Linked DNA regions of Mus musculus: all the other regions are reported to be linked to region 1. Evidence: microRNA targets listed by miRTarBase, many of them from high-throughput screens and not tested one by one. Region 1 holds a microRNA gene; each other region holds the end of a gene's coding sequence.
Evidence for each region. Region 1 holds the annotated microRNA mmu-miR-411-5p (UAGUAGACCGUAUAGCGUACG, at 3,528-3,548, shown strand). A microRNA usually pairs through its seed, bases 2 to 8, with sites in the 3' UTR of a target mRNA and lowers its output. Matches are read on the target gene's strand: a 7mer-m8 pairs with bases 2 to 8, a 7mer-A1 pairs with bases 2 to 7 and ends in A, and an 8mer does both.

Region 2: the mRNA of Syt7 is a reported target of mmu-miR-411-5p. Seed matches in the 3' UTR shown: 7mer-m8 at 3,628-3,634.
Region 3: the mRNA of Atp8b1 is a reported target of mmu-miR-411-5p. Seed matches in the 3' UTR shown: 7mer-m8 at 4,257-4,263.

The regions. Positions count from the first base shown.
Region 1 is chr12:109,706,663-109,713,394 of GRCm38, forward strand. It overlaps Mir411 (microRNA 411), which reads left to right and starts at 3,513; the gene lies at 3,513-3,594. It overlaps Mir379 (microRNA 379), which reads left to right and starts at 2,398; the gene lies at 2,398-2,463. It overlaps Mir299a (microRNA 299a), which reads left to right and starts at 3,976; the gene lies at 3,976-4,038. Mir299b (microRNA 299b) reads right to left here and starts at 4,031; the gene lies at 3,983-4,031. It also overlaps Mir380, Mir1197, Mir323 and Mir758.
Region 2 is chr19:10,445,888-10,452,619 of GRCm38, reverse strand. It overlaps Syt7 (synaptotagmin VII), which reads right to left. Exons shown (of 12, transcript NM_001373944.1): 12 at 1,003-4,280. The coding sequence ends at 4,176. Among named protein-coding and RNA genes, the nearest start is that of Lrrc10b, 8.2 kb to the left of the region's middle.
Region 3 is chr18:64,527,347-64,534,078 of GRCm38, reverse strand. It overlaps Atp8b1 (ATPase, class I, type 8B, member 1), which reads left to right. Exons shown (of 28, transcript NM_001001488.3): 27 at 355-485; 28 at 2,515-5,100. The coding sequence ends at 2,739. Among named protein-coding and RNA genes, the nearest start is that of Nars, 14 kb to the right of the region's middle.

The sequences.
Region 1 (6,732 bases):
TTTCTGTCCCTAAAACAAGAGGAAGATGCCGGTGACTTTTCCTCTAATGCTTTCTGAACAGGGACTTCCTACCTCAGCCTCATCCCATTGTTCCTTTGTTTCTTGGAGTACTTTGTGCCTCCCCCACCCCAATGGCATGGGGCTCTGAGCTTCCACCCCACCCTCTATCTCTTCTAGAATCTTACACACTTCTCCATTCTGTTGTCAACTACCCTTCACTTCTTACAGTACTCTAGTGAGTTCCTTCATCCTTAGATCTTTCAACAACCTGTTTCAGCTCCCTTCCCTCTTGGCAGCTTTGCAGAACTCACATATTTGGCTCCCTGCCACCATTCCCATTAAATGGACCCCTGTGCATGGGAGCAGCCTCTCTTCTGAACGCTCACCTGTGCCTAAGGCTCCACCCACTGTGAAGTTAATCTCAACCTGACTCTACTGCCTGTAGCAAGCCGGCCGCCCAAATGCCCCCCTCCACCAGCCCTATGTGTCTCTGTCTCTCTGTGTCTCTGTCTCTCTGTGTCTCTCTGTCTCCCCCCCCCCCCCGTGTGCGTGTGCGTGCGTGCGTGCGTGCGTGCGTGCGTGCGTGCGTGTGTGTGTGTGTGTGTGTGTGTGCGCGCGCGCGCGTGGGTGCATGTATGCATTTCTCTGAACACTTACTTAATTACCACCTGCCACCCCACACCTACACTGGGATACCCTGGTTTTTCCTCCTGGGATCTCAACCCTGTCCTCTCTGCTCCATGTCTGTGACTTCTTTGCTACCTGGTTTTCATTTTCCCTCTTGAGCTCTTGCTCTTTGCACCTGCGCTTGCTACCAAAATGCAACTCACTATGACCTTTACCAACTGGGAGTATCTTCCCTTTGGTCCCAAGGTAAAGTTCAAGGACTTTCACCATTGTTAGAAAGCCTTGTATGACCTGTGCTCCACCAGGCTTACTTCTGGTTCCACCTGCTTCATCCCCATCACAGAAATGCTCTGGACAGCATGATGGGCTCCTCAATCCCCACTCTGTCTCAGTCTGACTCCCCTCCCCTCCCCTCTCTCTCCTTCCCTCTCTTCCTCCCCTCCCCTCCCTCCCCTTCCCTCTCTTCTCCCCCTCCCCTTCCCTCCCCTCCCTCCCCTTCCCTCTCTTCCCCCCTCCCCTCCCCCTCCTTCCTCTCACCCATCCTCTCTCCTCTCCTCTCCTCTCCTCTCCTCTCCTCTCCTCTCCTCTCCTCTCCTCTCCTCTCCTCTCCTCTCCTCTCCTCTCCTCTCCTCTCCTCTCCTCTCCTCTCTTCTCCTCTCTTTACTCAGGCCACTGCTTACTCTCATCTGCCCTTACTCTCTGTATCCTTTCTTTCATCCTCCTCTCCTCAAAACTTGGCAGAAGTCTCCCAGATCTTGCAAATACACTTTTATTCCTTTGGACCTCTTTAGCCTTTGCCTCTTGAAGTCCATCTTCTCTAGAATTCATTTTCATGGGAGTTTTCCCTGCTAAGTTGGAGTCTACTGGAAGGCATAGCATGGTGTCTCTTTGCTCTGACTGCATGCCCTGCAGATGTTTCATGGTCAAGATGGAACCCATGGAAAGTCATTGGGCTAGAGGAGAGGCATAGGTCTATGGCATAAGGCTGGTTGGGGCAGGCTAGGCAGCTACTTGATGGGATAATACGGAACTTTGGAAGAGGCAGCCAGTTGTTTGATTTGAGAATGATATAAGCAATGATGCTCTTGCCATTATGAAAGTATGGACTGAGCAAAACACCACATGGGGTTTAGAATTGACTCACCCATTTGGAAACAGGAAATAAACTGAAGATGACCTGAGGACCATTCAGAGGTAGCATGCAGGGATGTGGCCCAGTAGACACTGGTCTCTAAGTCCTTGATAGATGCTCATACCCAGGAACCTCCCTTGGGCTTCCCTGGAGACTATAAAGTCTCATAGTTTTATACCCATTAAGGTACCATCAGAGGGGAGGGTTCTCACTATGAACTTTGGAAGTACTTGTCCTCTGAGCCTTGAGTTTATGTCTACATATCTGGTACATGGCAGGTCTTTCACAACTAGAGGTCTTTCACATGGTGATCTATGCCATTGTGGTGTCCCCTTTGTTGAGACAAGCTGACCATTGGCCTTCAGTTTGACCAAGACTAAGATCAAAATGGTTAGAATATAGTCAGCACAGTGGTTCATTTTTCTGAGTTAGTGTGGCCTTCATCTGGTAATGTACTACCTGAGGGGGGAGGTGCCGCCTCTCTTTCAGCACCGTGCAACCATTCAAGGAGGGTGTGTTGTTCACCACATCTGCTTCCCACTGCCAAATCAGGCCTCAGAAAAGCTTTCTGGAAGTGACGCCAGCTTCAGGGACAAGGCCCAAGTTTCTAGGGGTCAACACCGTTCCATGGTTCCTGAAGAGATGGTAGACTATGGAACGTAGGCGTTATGTTTTTGACCTATGTAACATGGTCCACTAACTCTCAGTATCCAATCCATCCTCGGAGGGCACCCCGGAGGTGTTACCAACAGCGAGGAAGAGAATCGGTTCATCCTCACCCACTCCGTGTACTTTCAGTTGCTATGGCTGATATCTGATCTACAGCAAGACCACCATCTTCTGGGCCCCCAGTGAGCCCTCTAGGAGACTTTTGGGAGCTTGAGTCCTAGGACCCGAAGACATGGTCTTTCCATGTGAAATGCATGAGATGTCTATGGGACATCTCCAAACCAGCCAGCTCTGGAGGCTTTGTGGAGCCCATTTTCCCTCAAGGGAGACCTACCTGTTTAGCATCTACCCTGCTCTGAGCATTGAGGAAATGCTAACATCTACCTCTTCTCAAGTTCAAGTCCAGCCTCAGTTCAGTTGGGTTTTTAGTGGCAGTGCCAAGTGGGGATGAAATAGTAGTTTTGAGTTTAGGGAGATGGTTGACCCAAATAATACCTTTTTTTTTTTTTTTTTTTTTAAAGTTCACTATGCCTTAGAAGGCTTCCTGGAACTGCCTTTGATTGAAACAGATGTGCCATTGTCTTTTTTTTTCTGGTGGCACCCTTTTCCTATGGTTATGATTTGGTCTCACAAGGAGATAGGGCAGGGCTTCCAATGCCCTGATCCATGTGCTTGGCCTGCTTTAACTAGCCAGGTCATCTTTGTTTTTTTATTGCGTACAGGATATTTGGCTTTCCTAATTTGGCACCACTCCTGCACATTAGCCCCCTGCCGTGCATGCCCTTATGCCTACTGTCCCTGAGTGCCCATTCCTTCAGCACCCGGTAGGCACTTCAGCAGCATTTGTGGAGTAGTAACCCCCACAGCATCGTTTGTCTGCAACCTTTATGAGCTTTTGGAAGAGCTGCCGATTTTGGGGATGAGTTGCTGGTGTCAAACCTGACATGAAGATGAGACTCTTGGCTTTTGTGTGCCTGCCGCATGATGCATGCTTTGTGCCCAGCCAGACTCAAGATTCCACCAGCTCAATGGCCCAGAGGGCTTCCTGGACGTGCCCTCAGCCTTTGTCCTCGGCGTCTCTGTGTGGTACTTGGAGAGATAGTAGACCGTATAGCGTACGCTTTATCTGTGACGTATGTAACACGGTCCACTAACCCTCAGTATCAAATCCATCCCCGAGGCCCCTGGAGAAGATGCTGTCTTCGGGGAGACGCCAGTAGACTCATCATCAGGGCTTCTCCATGATGCTGGAAGAGATGGTTTTCAATATGGCGTGTGTTCTTTCCTGCATGATGGGAAATGACATAATCTCCCCCTTCCTCTGCTGAGCTCTGCCTTGGGAACTCTTGCCATCTCTGGGGAGGAGACCACAAAGCTTTCTGGGATCAGTGCTCTTCGTGACCTCAGTGACAGGGGTGTCTAGGCGACTCTTGGTTAGTAGACTCCATGACCTGCTTCTTCTCAACACCATCCCTGAAGAGGTGTCCTGAGGCAACCTGGCAGACATGAACCTTCTTACAGCTGTCCTTGCTGTCACGCGGTACTTGAAGAAATGGTTTACCGTCCCACATACATTTTGAGTATGTATGTGGGACGGTAAACCGCTTCTTGGTATCCAGCCCAGCCATCCAGTCCATACCATCCTCGAGCAAGCCTGAAGTGAGAGAAGAAACGTTGTTTTGGCTTGCTCTCTACATCGGGCTGCTTGGCCAAACATCCCTCTGCTTTTTGTGTGCTTTCTCTGTTAATTCATGTGGCAAGGTGTTCCTGTCAGCTTCAGTGCAGCCCTTAAGGGCTTCTTCAAGGATGATGACAACCTCCAGGAAGGTGTCCTACATCCCAACTGGGCATGCTCCCTCCCTCCTTAGGACTTGAAAAAGTGGCAATTAGCTCCACAGATGCTCATCATCAAGGGATGCTGCGTGTTTTCATCATCTGCAAAGCTATCATCAGATGCCTTCAAGACATTATGCCCATAGAAGGACAGCTAGGGCTACATGATACAGTGCAAAGACAGATGCATGAAGACACAGTCCCTGTTTCCACTGATGCTTCGTATATAGTATCTTTTTTTCCATATCAAGTCTAGCCTTCTAGAGGAAGATGACCCAGCCTGGCTCCTCCATGTATGCTTACAGATCAAAGTTGCTTCTTGGCTCACTTCTTCTTACCTCCAGCCCAGCCTTGGAGAACTTGCTGAAGATGCTGCTAGCCTCAGAGACAGGGCTCTGGTTCTTGCATCAGCAATGACCTCACGGTACCTGAAGAGGGATCAAGCAAACTGCATGTGTATTATTAACACCATTTGTAACCTGGCCTACTCTTTTCAATATCAACTTCAGCTTTGAAGGTTTCCAAAGAGGCCCCATTAACCTTGGGGGTGGGGGGGCAAGGCAGAAGGACAAATGCCTTGGGGTAGAGGTTGTCCATGCTTCTTGCTTTACTTACAGCGCATGTTAATTTGGTCCACCTTCCCATAATAGTGAATGCGCCTTGGGGGCTTCCTGTGAACAATATTTCCTTAAAGGCACAGTGCTAGTTACGGGGTCTTCTCTTCGCGTCCTTGCAAACTTCTCTTTGCTATATTCTCTGCATCTGCAGCAGGCAATGCATGGTGGTCTCTTTTCAACATTGCATCTAGGGTTTCCTGGAAGTGATAATCATGAGGAAAGAAGCCAGCTCCTGCACCACCCTCTCTCCATGGTACCTGAAAAGATGGTTGACCATAGAACATGCGCTACTTCTGTGTCGTATGTAGTATGGTCCACATCTTCTCGTTATCAAAGTCATTCGTGAGGGTTTTCCAGAGACCGAGCCAACTTCATGGGAGATATCCTGTCCTGGCTTCAGCACAGTACTTGGGGAGATGGTAGACTGTCGAGTGTGTGCGTTAATTCCAGCATGTACAGCATGGTCCACCACATCTCTGCATCAGCCGGTCACCAGGGGCTTTCTGAAAGCCATACCAATTGAGAGTAGGGCTCAGGCGGCAGACCCTATCCAACACAGATTACCCAGTGCTTGGCTACAGGCCATGTTCATTACCTACGACTCTGGCCATTTGATCCAAAGCCAATATTTGGCACCCAGCCCAGCCTTACAGGGCATCCTGGAAGTCATAGTGGCATTAAACATGAGTTTGTGGCCATTGCCACACATGCCGATTGCTGGTAGTTTGTGACACTCATTGAGAAGGCATTTTGGAGGTAACACCAAATTAAGTAAAGTGAGCTGGAATCAGCCAGCGTTACCTCAAGGTATTTGAAGATGCGGTTGACCATGGTGTGTACGCTTTATTTATGACGTAGGACACATGGTCTACTTCTTCTCAATATCACATCTCGCCTTGGAAGACTTCCAGGAGGTGACATCTGCTTTGAGGAAGAGCCAGTGTCCCGGTCTTCCTACTGCTGCTGCTTGGTACTTGGAGAGAGGTGGTCCGTGGCGCGTTCGCTTCATTTATGGCGCACATTACACGGTCGACCTCTTTGCGGTATCTAATCCCGCCTTGCGAGCTTTCCTGGAGCTAACACCAGCTGTGGGGTGGGGACACTAAATGTGTGTGCTAGCGCAACCCAGCCAGCGGGTTTGTCTTTTCTTGTGTCTGACAATAACTCTTGTGTGGCAGCCTTCTTCTCAGCAAATTTCTCTGGCTTGGCAGCTTCGTGGGCAGGGTGACTTGCAGACCAGGAAAGTGGCATCGACATGTGATACACGTGTGGGTGCGTGAGGTGGTTGACCAGAGAGCACACGCTATATTTGTGCCGTTTGTGACCTGGTCCACTAACCCTCAGTATCTAACCTTCCCTTGGAGAACTTCCTGGAAGAGATCTCAACTTTTGGGGACAGAGGCAATAAGCCAGCTGTACGCTGTTAGACTTGGAGACAGCATCCTCAGTACTTGCAACATATGTGCCTGTTATGGTAGTATTGGATGGGCTTCCAATGCTGTCCTATACTTGGATCCCTTCCTTGATATGGGGCCATCCAAGTTCAAGAAACGTACCATGTTGTCAGACATGACCAGGGTGTGTGTATGCCATTTATATATGGCACAGGTCGCAGGTCACCTTAGCACACTTGCATGCTAAATCTGTGGGAGGAATCATCTTTGGTTTGGGGGCATCTGTGCCTTTCTGTGGTTACCCAAAATGGTGGTAAGTCCTATAGCCAGTCTCTACTGCGCCACTGCTCTCTGGTTGTGACATAACTTCAGGATCATGCCATGGAGGTCTGCTGTACTGGGGCATGTGATGGGATGGCTGTCAGATATATATCAACTAATGGCTTGCTTGAGCACTTTG
Region 2 (6,732 bases), not on the chromosome of region 1:
CTCGAACTTCTGGAATAGAAGCCAACAGAAGCTGTTTTATCCCCTCTCAGGTGCTTGTGCACACTAGGGCAGGAGCTGTACCTCTGAGCTATACCCTAGCCTGCATACACCTTTTAAAAGGGATGTCTAAACTACACTTAGGAAGTTAAGGGGTAGAGGGGAAAGGGCAGGCTGCTTCAGAATGAGGGTACTTAGTACAGATTAAGGAGGCAGCTGCTGGTCCCAGATGTGGGGGACAGAGGGTATGTGACCCTCTTCACTTCAGAGTGGGGCAGGGCCCATGGAATTATGGGGTCCCCTTAGTGCCTATCTGAAGCAGATATGATTGGCCTTCTGCAGTACCCTGAGAACTGGCAGGCCAGCTGCCCTGGACAGAGCAGGGAGTGGCTGGAAAATTATTGCTTCTTTGTGAATAGAGGACATTGAGAGCACAGCAAAGGGCATGGCTTGCCAGAGCCACATACAGGAGGGCACCGGAGTCTCTCAGGTCCTCAGCTTGGAACTTGCCGATGGGGCTCTTTAGATTGGAGAGATTTTTTTCCCCAACCATAGAGAATCAGCCTAGACAATAGATTGGAGAAAGGCCACAGATTCAGCAGTCTGACCTAGAGCTCAGACTACCTTTCTTTCCCCTGCCAGGACCTGGAAGGAGACATTGGCCCCAAGTCATAGAAGCTGAGCAGGTGATGGTGAGGCTGGACTCCAAGGGAGGTCTTGGCGATCTCAGGGAGATCCCACTACTTCTGAGATGACTTTAGGTCTGACCTGGGGCATGCAATATTCTCTACTTTGGGGCAGCTGGTGAATTGTAGGGATTAGTCTTGATCTGAGAGTGAGCGGGCAGCTCCAGCAGGCCCAAGCCACAATGAAAAGTCAAGTGTCAGGTGACAAGCTGAGTGGAGACACCCCCAAGACTCCCCAGTCCCTCCAATCCCAGCTGTTGCTTCCCCTGGAAGAAGAGAGAGAGAGGGCTGGGACCCACAGAGGAAACAGCCAAGGCCCTACTTTTTCACGATCCTTTATTAATCAGAACAGGCCTTGCCACAAAAAGCAGGGCCCATTCCCACAAAAATATGATTTTGCAAAGAGGAAAATTTTGCTGGCTTAGAGGGTGCATATGGTGGAAAAAAATTGTATGGTTCTTTTTCCCTTTTGTCTTCAGTTCTCTTTGCTGTATTTTTTTTCTTTTTTTGTGATAGTGGATTTTTGTTTTATTTTTTATAAAACACTTGCGCTCAAGGACTCAAACACAATACAAACAGCGCCACCAGTTCCCACCCCTGGGGGCCCCAGCTGAGCTGGGAGTCCCCTTGGCTTTTTTTTTTTTTTTTTTTCTTTTGTGGCTGTTTTCCTTTGTCCCTTCCCTGGCCTCTGGTGCTGGAGGGCAGGTGGAGGGGTGTGCTGGGGCAGGTGGAATTTGTATAGCAGTTACACAGAGAAGATGATCACAAGAAAAGCTACCTAAACAATGTAACAACTAAGTCTAGGGTGCCCACAAGATGTCAGATGACGCTCATAAAGGGGGTGGGGACACAGTGAAGAGACAGATTGGCTCTGGCGGTCCCTAGAGGCTCTGTGGGGTAGGGTGGACTGGCAGGTGGGCCTTGCTTTCAGGCCTCACTGACAACTTTGCTCTGGGTAGCACCTTCAGAGCCCTCCTGCCTTGACCCCCTAGGTCAGGTGATGGTGGCCTCACAACCTCCCCCATGAGGTAGGTGAAGTATTATTACCATCATTTTACAGATGGAGAAACTGAGGCCCAGGGAGTGTGGGTGACTTGCCCAAGATCCTAGGACAGTGGTGGCAGAGCTCTGGTGCCCTCCTCACCCTCAAGTCCCTCCCCCCCATTTCCATGTTCCCCCAGTTGCCCTAACATCTTATGCCCAGCCTCTGTGTCATCCAGCTGCACCCTGTGCAAACCCACTCTGTTCTCCACCCACTGTTTGCAAGGTCTGGCTGGCCCCCCCACCCCTCCACCCAGGCTGGGTCACTACTATTCCTAGTAGTCTGAGGGGAGAACAGCTATGTGGGGGGATGCTGAGCTGACTGGCTAAGAGGTGCAGGAGCACGCTCTGCATAAACCCGCTGCCAACTTTACACCTGCTGGTGCAGGTTGCTCGGGCCCCTCGGATGCCTTGGTGGAAGCACTCAGGAGACTGAGGCAGATGGAAGGAAGGATGGCAGCGATTTCTCTCGAGTTTCCAGACTTTCTACATTACCCTCTTCTGTTCCCACACAGCCTCTGCAGGGAGTTGGGAGGGTCCCTTTCCTGGGGTTACACCCAGCTGGGCAAGGGAGTTGGGGATGGTCCTATTTAAAGCAAAAGCTGTAGTATACAAACATTTAGATTTACAAGTAATATGGGTAACTATTTGTTTTACAATGGAATTATTCACTCTACGAATGATTCACCTACTACATAAGGGATTCCTCCAGGTCCCTGGGGACAGGGTGTGAAATCTGATTTAAGGACATTTTGCTATGGACAAAAGGAGATCTCCCACCTAGAGCAGAAGGGTGAGCTTAAGGGGAAGCCCACTGAAGGAAACTGTGCCCACATAACTGTGTTCCCACTGTGCTCTAGATAAGCAGATGCAGTCCAGAGCCCCTTCCATCCTTGGGGTGTCAAGGTGCCAGTCAGGGTAGAACTGTATTTATGGTCCCCAACTGCTACCATAGATGTGGTGTTCTGGTGCCACCTGGTGGTAGAATTAGGGTATGTTGGGCTCAAGTCTCTGAATTGGTTTTGAGGCTCTTTCACCAGCTGGGTCTTTTCAATACAGCACAGAGGGACGACAGGACTTAAGAGGGATCATTCTGGAGTCTGCTATTTCCAAAGGGAAGCCAGTTCTAGTCTCAGCAGAGGCGGGGAGAAGGGACGACAGCTTCTTTGGGTATGGCAACTTCAGACTCCTGGAATGCTCCCCGCTTCCTCTGCTTGCGTGGTGGGTGGGAGGGGCAGAAAGAGCTGCTACTCTGGGGTGGGGGTAGGGGTGGGGGTGGGGTATGTGTCAAGACAGCCTGGAGAAGGCCAGGGGTTGATCAGATTATGCAAAGAAAAGGTGGAGGTGTCGGGGCAAGGGGTGGGGATCGGGGGCTATATCCAAGCCAGAGTGTGGAGCAGATGCCAATTTGACTGCAAAATGAGATTTGGAAAGGTGGGGGTCCCTGGGCGAGGGGTTAGGAATGCCTGAGAAGGATGGGAGTGGTGCCCTGTTGGAAGGCCATGCACACGGTGAGTAGGTGCCTACAAAGTGTGAGCCCAGGCCCAAGGGACGACATTGCAGTAGAGAGTTGCTACTGGGGAATTGTGGGGGTGGGGGCTACAGAGACAGGCAAAGTGGGTGCCAGGAGGCAGCTGAAACAGCCATTTGCCCTGGTCCCCACTTCTTCTCAGCCGTCCATACCCTTCCTCTCCTACCTTCCCTGTGGCCTTGACCTCTACCTGACCCAGCCCTACTTCATCCTCACGAAACTCTGCTATTTTCCATAGCCAATCAGCACTGCTGGTCCCAGGGCGATAGGGAGTGAGCTCCCCCTTTCCCACACGTGCGCATGAGCTTCCAGGTGCACATGTGTACACGCATGTGGGCACACACACACACACACACACACACACACACACACAGTAGACACAACACAAATACACAGGGCCACATCTCCAGGACTCTGGAGCACAGGCTATATACTATCCTCAGTGTCCAGGGCCCAGCCGGCACCTGAAGCTGGGGATGGGCCTGATGACCAGGCCGTGGCCAAACGCCTCGGCCTTCCTCTTCTGGGCCCCAAAAAGGGGATCTAGGGAAGGGGTGGCTTCTCTCCACTCCAGGCACTGCCTTAAAGAAAACGGGGGCTATGCCCACCTGGCGGGCCTCTGGAGGGATCTGCCCATCTGGCTCTTGAGCTCTCCCCCACGTCTTTAGTATCAGCAAATCAGGAAAGAAAGAGGCAAAGCAGGGAATGGCTCCCAAGCCCCCACCCCTGAGCTGGACTCATGGGGTGGGGCTGGTACTTCCTAGAAATGGGGCCCAGTAGAGTTCTGGTACCCCTCCCTGGCTGAGCCCTCGGGGTCTCCCCTCACCATGGCAGGGGTGCCGGGCTGGGCATTGTGCATAAAGTGGTAGGGGCATGATGGGGAGCCAGGCCTTGGCCCTTGGAGCCTCCCTTGGCCCCACTCAGGCTTTCAGCTGGTGCCACTGGGCCACAGGCTGCCGGGGACGAGCGATCATGTCCTTCCAGTGTTTCACTTCACCTGGTCCGCTCTTCCAGGACAGGTAGATCTGGGGAGGAAGAGAAGATGCGTAATGGCAGGCTCTGAGGCTTGGGCCCTGTCCCATAGTAACAGCCTGGCCCACAGAGGCTGCCCCTTTCCCTTCCTGCCAGCCTGACCTAGTTTCCTGACTGCTATCCCTCAAGGGCCTGGGCATGCCTGGCCCTTTGACATCAAACTGTTACCTATTTTGCAGTGAAGGTCAGGATACAGGCATTTGGCTGGGGCAATCTTCCCTGACCTAGGAAGGGACACCATTGTTATTGTCTCTCCCATCTCCCTGCATTTCCTGGCCCCGCCCCTGACTTTGTACTGGGGGCTATATATCTCGAGGTCAGTGTGTGCTTCCAAACCTGGCAGGTGAACAAACTACCAGATTAGCCCCAGTTTTCAGATGGGAAAACACACAGAGTTAAGAGTCTTACCTTCAGTCATAGTTTAAAAGTTCAAAATGGTATAAGGAAAGTCTTGGTGCTTCTAGACTGCCAATGCAGCCTAGGCTCTTGTAAGGGCCCTGCAACATTGCAGGGCTGCCCCAGAAACTCCCAAAGCAGTCTCAGCTGAGCCTGGCCTAGACACCAGGAATGCTTAAGACCAGGGGCATTAGAAGAAAAGCGGACAGTGTTGCAAGATCCTGGCCAGGGCACCTTAAGGCCATCAAGATGACAACTCATAGGGCAAAAAACTGTCACAGGTCATAGAGCCTGGGGGCCTTGACGACAGAGTACAACGTGCTAGCTAACACTGGATCCAGGAGCAGGCCTGGGGCATTAGTGGAAGAACTGGCCAAATGCAAATGAAGTCTGACAGGTTCACAGCAAGGTCCCATGTCAGTTCCTTAAGCTGTGACAGATACATTGTGAGGGGCTAGCAATTGAGGACATTGGCAAGAGGGATATGGATACACCATATTACATTTCCTACTTTTATGTACATTTAAACATCAGGTATTACTACCTAAAATTCTCATACCTAAAGTTCTCACACTGAGGCAGAAGGATTGCTATGAGTAGGAGGCCACCCTGGAGGTACATAGTGAGTTTGAGTGCCAACCTGGGCTATAAAGCAAGAGCCTGTCAAAACAAACAAACGATAAAACACCAAGACAAAATGAGCAAGCCCTATGCAGGGGTGGAATATCTTTCTCAGCTTCAAGGCTCCTCTGTGCAACTCAGACTCCTCTGAGCCAATTGACTGATAATAGACACTGATATTACAGACAGCTGGAAGTGGCGTGTGTCTGCTGCCCTCGCTGGACTAAGTTCTCAGTCTCACTCTGAGGCTCACTAAATGCTCCACCCCACTATCCCACCATCACCACTACTACCACCGCCACAGGTCACAGCCAAGTGCTCCTTCGTGCCTACTTGCTTTTGCAATGTCAGCCCAGCTTGGTACCATAGCCTGGAACAAGGCCAGATTCCCAGTCTCCAGGAGTTGAGCTGGGCCTGTGATTCAGAAAGGTTCCAGGGTCCTTGGGCTTCCTAAACTATCCCAGGACGAAGCAAGAACAAAACCATTTTTGGGGGCTGGCGAGATGGCTCAGTGGTTAAAAGCGCCGACTGCTCTTCCGAAGGTCCAGAGTTCAAATCCCAGCAACCACATTGGTGGCTCACAACCATCCGTAACGAGATCTGACGCCCTCTTCTGGAGTGTCTGAAGACAGCTACAGTGTACTTACATATAATAAATAAATAAAACTTAAAAGAAAAAAAAAAAGAACAATGTAAAAACTAACATTATAAAAAAAACATTTTTGACTTGGTTTGGCCCACAGAAGGCTGGTCTGGTAAAGGAAGCTAAAGTACCCCCCAAGAACATCTACTTCTATAAAGCAGAGTTGTAGCATGGCTGCAAGGGCCTCTAGGGAGCTCAGTGGGCCCTGCTCACAGCATACACTCTAGTCTCCATACCTGTGCCCACTGGCTGGCTGAATAATACTCCCAGGGCCAGCTTTCTTCCACAAGGCTAGCTGCTTTTCTCTCCCCAACAACTAGTTTCTCCTTTTCATCTTTCTAGGGAATGCCTCCAGAGTGGCTCCTTCTCTGCAGATGCCAGACCATCCTTCTCCAAACACCATTGTTGGGGTTTGAATGAGAAGGACATCATAGGCTTGTTATATTTAAATGCTTGGTCCCCAGCTGGTGGACACGTTTGGGAAGGATTAGGAGGTGTGGCCTTGTGGGAGGAAGTGTGTCACTGGGGCTGGGCTTTGAGGTTTTAGAAGCCCATGCTATTCCCAGTTAGCTCTCTCTGCCAACTCAGATGTGAGCTCCTAGCTACTGCACCAGCACCGTGCCTGCCCGCCTGCCTGCCACCATGTTCCTCACCATGATGGCCCTGGACTTGCCCTCTGAAATGGAGGCCTAAATTATTATTTTATTAATTTTATTAAATTATGAGTTGCCTTGGTCTTGGTGCTTTTTCACAGCAGAGGAAAAGTATCTAAAACAGTCATATTG
Region 3 (6,732 bases), not on the chromosome of region 1:
AGATGGCTCAGCGGTTAAGAGCACCAACTACTCTTCCGAAGGTTCTGAGTTCAAATCCCAGCAACCACACAGTGGCTCACAACCATCTGTAATGAGATTGGACGCCCTCTTCTGGTGTCTGAAAACAGCTGCAGTGTAGGTACATATAATAAATAAATAAATCTTGAGAGAGAGAGAGAGGGAGAGAGGGAGAGAGGGAGAGGAAGAGAGGAAGAGAGGGAGAGAGGGAGAGAGAGAGAGAGAGAGAGAGAGAGGGAGAGAAAGTCTTACCTAAGATGTCTGCTTAGCATATGGAAGGCTAATTCTGTCCTCAGGATAGAAGCACCTCTGTGAGTCCCTGTTGTGTTGTTGCAGGTACAGCTTCCAATGCCCTGAGACAGCCATACATCTGGCTGACCATCATCCTGACGGTTGCCGTGTGCTTACTACCTGTCGTCGCCATCCGTTTCCTGTCCATGACCATTTGGCCCTCAGAAAGTGATAAGGTACAGACTTGCCCTCCTCCTACAGTAGAGTCCCTTCGGGGAGCCAACGCATCCCCCATCACTACCTGTCCTGCTGAAAGCCTGTGGGAAGGCTGATAAGAATTTTGTTGTTTCACTCTTTCTCTTTAATTCCATCGTGATCGATCGTGAACCTTCAGACGTTTGTTCACACAGTGAAGCAGGTCTTGTCCCTTTGGTTTTACAGTTATCTTAACAATTTGCCATGCTAATGGTTTGGGCTTCTTTTCCCCTCCCCTTATTTTTTTAATTGATTATTTTATTTACATTCCAGACGTTGCCCCCCTCCCAGTCCCTGCTCCCACAGTTCTTTATCCAATTCCCCCTCCCCTTTGCCTCTGAGAGGGTGATCTCCTCTCTCCCCCCACCCACCCACCCTCCTTATTTAAAGCAAATATCATATCTGATAGTACAATCAATGTCTCAAAAACAGTGTAATGAGCCCCTTGCGTAATGATCAGCCGACTTCAGGCCCCGTTGTTGAGCAATTTAACATTGCTTTTCCCGTCACACTTCTGAAGGGAGTGTCTTCTTTATTAGTTTCATCTCATGCTGTAAGGTGGCCACAGCAGTTCCTGGCATCACATCGATAAATGGGGACAAGGCTTCCATCCTTTCCCTCAGGATCCTGGGAACTTTGAACGTGTACTTTTCTCAGATGTCATTTGTCAGAATTAGGCTGTACATTGAACTAATAGCCAACGAGATAAAACTCCCTCTCTTATGAAGAATGTCACTGTAGAGAGGAGAGGTGCTTACCTTTATAAATCGGCATTCTATGGTAAGGTGAGGGTGGATGTTAGCTAAGCAAGGGCCCAGGAGAACACTGTGACAGTGCTTGGTAAACAAGAGAAGAGATAGACCTCAGTTCTCTAAGTGCAAGAAAGAAGAACTTGAGTCTGGGTTCCAGCACACATACTAACAACTTCACCTGGCACCCTGCATCTCCAGATGTGGGGACAGGAGGATTCCTGGGGCTTGCTGGCCAGTGTCGCTGAATCTGTGGGCTCCTGAATTGATTCTATGACAAATCCTATCTCAAAAATTAGGGTGGAGGGGATAGAGGGAGACACCAGACATCCATCTCTAGCTTCTATAGTCATGTACACACATATACAAGCACCTGCACATATGAACACACACACACACACTGAGAGAGAGAGAGAGAGAGAGAGAGAGAGAGAGAGAGAACAAGAAAGAGAAAGACAGACAGACAGACTATGCTGTAACATGCCTTTGAGGTTTGTCAACACATACCAGTCTGCCCTGGGATTCACAAAGAATGTTAGCTTAGCAGCCTAGTTTGCTTTCTACTGCTCTGATAAATAGCATGGCCAACACAATTCGGGGAAGCAAAGGTTTATTTCATCATATGACTCCCAGGTCACAAGCTACCACTGAGGGAAGCCAGGGCAGAAGGTCGGTCAAGCAGGATCGTGGAGTCAGAAACTGAATCAAGAACTGCTGGAGGGGTGCTGCTCACTGGCTTGTTCTCTACGGCATGCTGAGCCTACTTTCTTATACTACCCAGAATCTTCTATTCAGGGGTGGAACCCTCACATTGGGCTGCGCCCTCCCATACCAACCACTAATCAAGATAATGCCCTATAGTCTTGCCTACAGGCCAATCTGATGGAGGCAGCTTCTTAATTAACATTCCTTCTCAAATGAATCTAGTTTGTGTCAAGTTGACAGGAAATAATGAAAAGTGCGAGGCTTGGTTTTCCTGGAACTTGCAATATAGACCAGGCTGACCTCCAAGATACCTCCATCTTTTGAGTACTGGAATTAAATGCCTGGCAATAGTTTTCCAAAATCTACCTGTAGGATAGTGGAAATAGTCCCCAACCCTCCAGACCCTTCATGTCCCGCTAGTCCAGAAAAGGGGGGGGGGCATTTGTGTGTGCATAAGGGTGTAAAGGCTCTCCGCGGGGCTAGCTTCTGCCCAGCTTCTATTGGCTAGGCGACCTGTGCATCTCAGATCTGTCTCTTCTTGGTTTTCTCTCTCCAGATCCAGAAGCATCGAAAGCGATTGAAGGCTGAAGAGCAGTGGAAACGGCGGCAGAGCGTGTTCCGGAGGGGAGTATCTTCCAGGCGCTCAGCCTATGCCTTTTCGCATCAGAGAGGCTACGCAGACCTCATCTCCTCTGGCCGCAGCATCCGCAAGAAGCGCTCGCCCCTGGATGCCATCATCGCGGATGGCACGGCTGAGTACCGGCGCACAGTGGAGAGCTGATTGGCATTGCTCTGCTGAGAGACCGGAGCGCTGGGAAGACGTTTTGTTTTTGTTTTTGTTTTTTTCTTTAATGAACGACTCAGGACCTTTTTAAAAACACAAACAAACTGAAGTTGTCACTGATGACAATAACCTTTTCAATAAACTTCTAGGATTGTGCTGTTAAGCAATCGCAAAGCCAAGACACCACCTGTTATTCAGCGGATTGTGTCTGCTGAGATTCAAAGGGAACTTTTTTTTTTTTAATCCTGGCCTAATGGAAGACGGCAGAGTTTAGAAAAGTCTCCCATTTCAGCTGGAAGGACACTACTACACTACAAAGTTACAATTACACTCTTCTCTCTGTGGCCTCAAATGTGGATTTCTCAGATGCACTCCCCCCTCTGCTTGTCATCTTTCAAAAGAAGAAAACAGAAAATCTGTTTTTAATGTATGGGTGCAGTAACAAAGGGTTGCTAATGTTTATCACCTGACAGGAAGTGGTTTAATGACTTTTTCAGACCTTGTTGGGGCTCCCTGTTTCTTTCTACCAACTTTCGAAATTTGAAACAAGTTTCCTTGATTGAATGATTTAGGTGCAACATTTCACTCTGGTTTTGATTTTACTACCAAGCTAAATAATGTATCCCATGTTTTTTTACTATTTGGTATTTCTCTGTACTACCAAGCGGTTTGACTCTCTACTTTAATTTTAAATTTTTAAAAATGACAAAAAAATATTTTTTAAAAGCTGAGGACATTATCAACTAGTATTAAGTACCATTTAGATAAGAGAAATAAATTGTGGCATCTCTTGCACCGTAAGGGATCATGATAATAGATCATGATAATGGAATGTGTGTTTCAGAAATGCTAGACGAAAGGGATTTAAATGTTTTCAACAAGAAGTGATAACTGAGAAATGGAAAAAATGTGATGTCAACTTTATACAATATACATGTGCTGAGGAACATGGCAGGCCACCTTGTGGCTTGGTGGCAAAGCTGGAGTCTTAGGTCCCATAGCAGTATAAAATGGAAGAAACATCACGTGATGTCCTATAAATAGACACAATTATGGATCACCTAAAATTGACTAGAAAGGGACAGGACTATGCCTACTGAAATTTTCCTTGTGGTTTCCTTTGGAAGACAACACTATTTAGCTCTTCCCAGTCACTGGATGGACTGGGAGGTTGCGGGGTGGGAGGGGAGAAACAAGAGCCTTGACTCTTAAGTGATGGGAACATTGTTACTACTGCCCACAACAGAGGAGAATAATACATACAAAGGTGTATCCAAACTGCTGCCGGTGGCCACATCCAGGCAAGGAGAACTATGAATATAGCCCAATACAAAAATGGTTAAAATTACTTAAAACACTAGGAAATTGTGTGTGTATATGCCCATGTGCAACTCCATTGCTTGGTCTTGAGTGTGAGCTTTCCTGGTAGTTTGTCCCACTGTCAGGAGCATAGACTTACCTGGTAGGGAGTCTGTGGAGAACTTTCCCCTGTGTTTCCTGGAAGTAAACGAGAGGTCTACTGTTCAGAACAGATAAGTTTAAACAAACAAACAAAAAGCCCAGAGGGCATCAGTGATACCTTTGGGAATATTTTGCAGAGTTCTCTGTTGAAAAGAAACTGCTTGTGTCCCCCTTCCCAGAAAGTATTTTATACAAGTCTTTTGGAGCCTCGCTCTTGCATCTGTCTTATGTCTAAGACAAAAAGAACAGTTTTTTCGTTTCGTTTTTGTTTTTTATTTTGGAAAAAACATTAGGTGATTAAGGAAAATATCCTTGAAAAGGTAACTTATTTTTCCCCCCAGGGGATTTTTCTCATTTTATTTCTTTCACAGAACAGTCCCCCTGCTCTACTGAAGGCCTCTGTGGGTTGTAGTAGGTAACTTTCTTTCCCCTTGCAAATGTTCATAGCAGTCTGTGAATTCCCAAGAGGAAATCATGTGTAGTTCATCTTCTATACACAGGACAGGAAAACATTAAATTGTACTTTTATAATGCATTGTCTAGATATGATGAAAGAATGTATGTCTATCTCCTAGAGGTAAATTTCTGAAAGTTTACAACTTTACCATGTAAATAAAAAGAATTGTATGTTTTCCTTTTTTTATGGAAAATTTAGCTTGTGTAATTTTGTCAATTTCAAGTTTCGCTTTTGTTTTTGTTTTTTTTGTTTTGTTTTTTGTTTTTGAATGGTGGGAAGGGTTGGCAATGCAAATGTGTCAAAGACTTACACTGCTGGGTGCAATATTAATAATTTAAAATGCAAATCATAAATTATTTCTATATGCTGTAAATCTGAGATTTAATGTATATTTTTGTTTAAGAAAATAAATGCTTTAGTAAAATATTTGGAACATGTCATTTTATATATGTTTATTTATGTCTGTATTGTGTGGTTATTTATTGGCAGTGCTGGGGATGTAACCCAGGGCCTTGTGTATGCTAGGCAAATGCACTCCTGAGCTGCACTTTCTAGTTTTAACACATGTTTCTAAGTGGGGTTGGTGGTGGTGTGTGTGTGTGTGTGTATGGATGGATGGATGGATGGATGGATGGATGGATGGATATAATAAGCCTTGTGTGTACCAGTGCCTGCAAAGACCAGAAAAAGATGTTAGCTCCTCTGAAGCTGGAGTTACAGATGGTTATGAGTTACCTGCTGTGGGTACTAGAAACTTCCTCCCTCATTCCCACTTGCCAACCTTTCTGCCAGGTATTCTACACGTATCTTATAGTTCAAGAACAGCAGCCCACTTCTCTTACTCTCCTTCTAAGGAACTGAGGGGAAAGAGGTGGAAGAACAGCAAGTGGCCTTAATGGCTAAGCTCTCTCTTCACACACACACACACACACACACACACACTAAGTTTTGTTCTTTATTGCCTTTGTAAGAATGGCATTCATATATCCTAGGCTTGTTTGAACTCCTCACATAGTCAAGAATGACCTTGCACTTCTGAGCCTCCTGTGACCACCTCCCTCCCAGTGCTGATGTTAGTATGTGCCACCACAGCTGGAACTCACTCTGTAGACCAGGCTGGCCTCGAACTCAGAAATCAGCCTGCCTCTGCCTCCCGAGTGCTGGGATTAAAGGCGTGGCCACCACAGCCATAGCTGCTTTTATTCAGTGTTGGGATTTAAGTCTTCCTGGATACTCACCAGAGCACCCTGGTGAGTTATCTATGTAGCTCCCCCCCCCTTTTTTTTCTGTTGCTGCTGCTGTGGTTTATTTTGTTTTGTTTTGTTGCTTTTAAGTGTGGAGTACATGGCAGGAGAATCTAGTCCCGAGACGGTTCCTGAAACGTGTAGAGCTCCTCTGGCTATAAGAAATAATGCTAGAGACTGTACAACATATAAGAGATGTGGCTGAGGGAGGTGATTAGACTTTCAAGGAAGAGGGACTAGCCATTTCAGGGTAAGACAACGTCTACTGCTCCAGACCTCTTCCTCTCAGTTCCTTAGAAGGAGAGTAAGAGAAGTGGGCTGCTGTTCTTGAACTATAAGATACGTGTAGAATACCTGGCAGAAAGGTGGGCAAATGGAAATGAGTGAGGAAACTCAGTCCATATCGGAGCTGCTGCAAAGATGAAGTGTGAAGACTTCCGTGTAGCACGGGGTGGGGGGAGGAGAGGGAGGGTCAGCCCTAGAAGCATGGGACGATGTGACTCACCAGCAAAGTGTGGTTGGTTGTGCTACCAGGAAAGAGATCCCCTGGTGAGGACCTCTCTGGGAGTTATGGTTGCAGTGGGTGAAGAGAGGCTGTCACCAGGCTGTGGGTGTGTGGGGTGATAGGAAAGGGGCTGGTTCTAGCTTCCTCAGTAGACAAAGTATAAGAAGAGCTGGGCAGCTAGTAAAGCACCAAACGGTAGAGTTGGTTCAGGGATATTTTTAACTCAACAGCACCACCTAGAGGAAAGTAGTCACATCCTACGGCAGATGCTGCTCTGGACTGTCATCTGATGGAGATGAAGTGTGATAGTCAAATGTACCCCA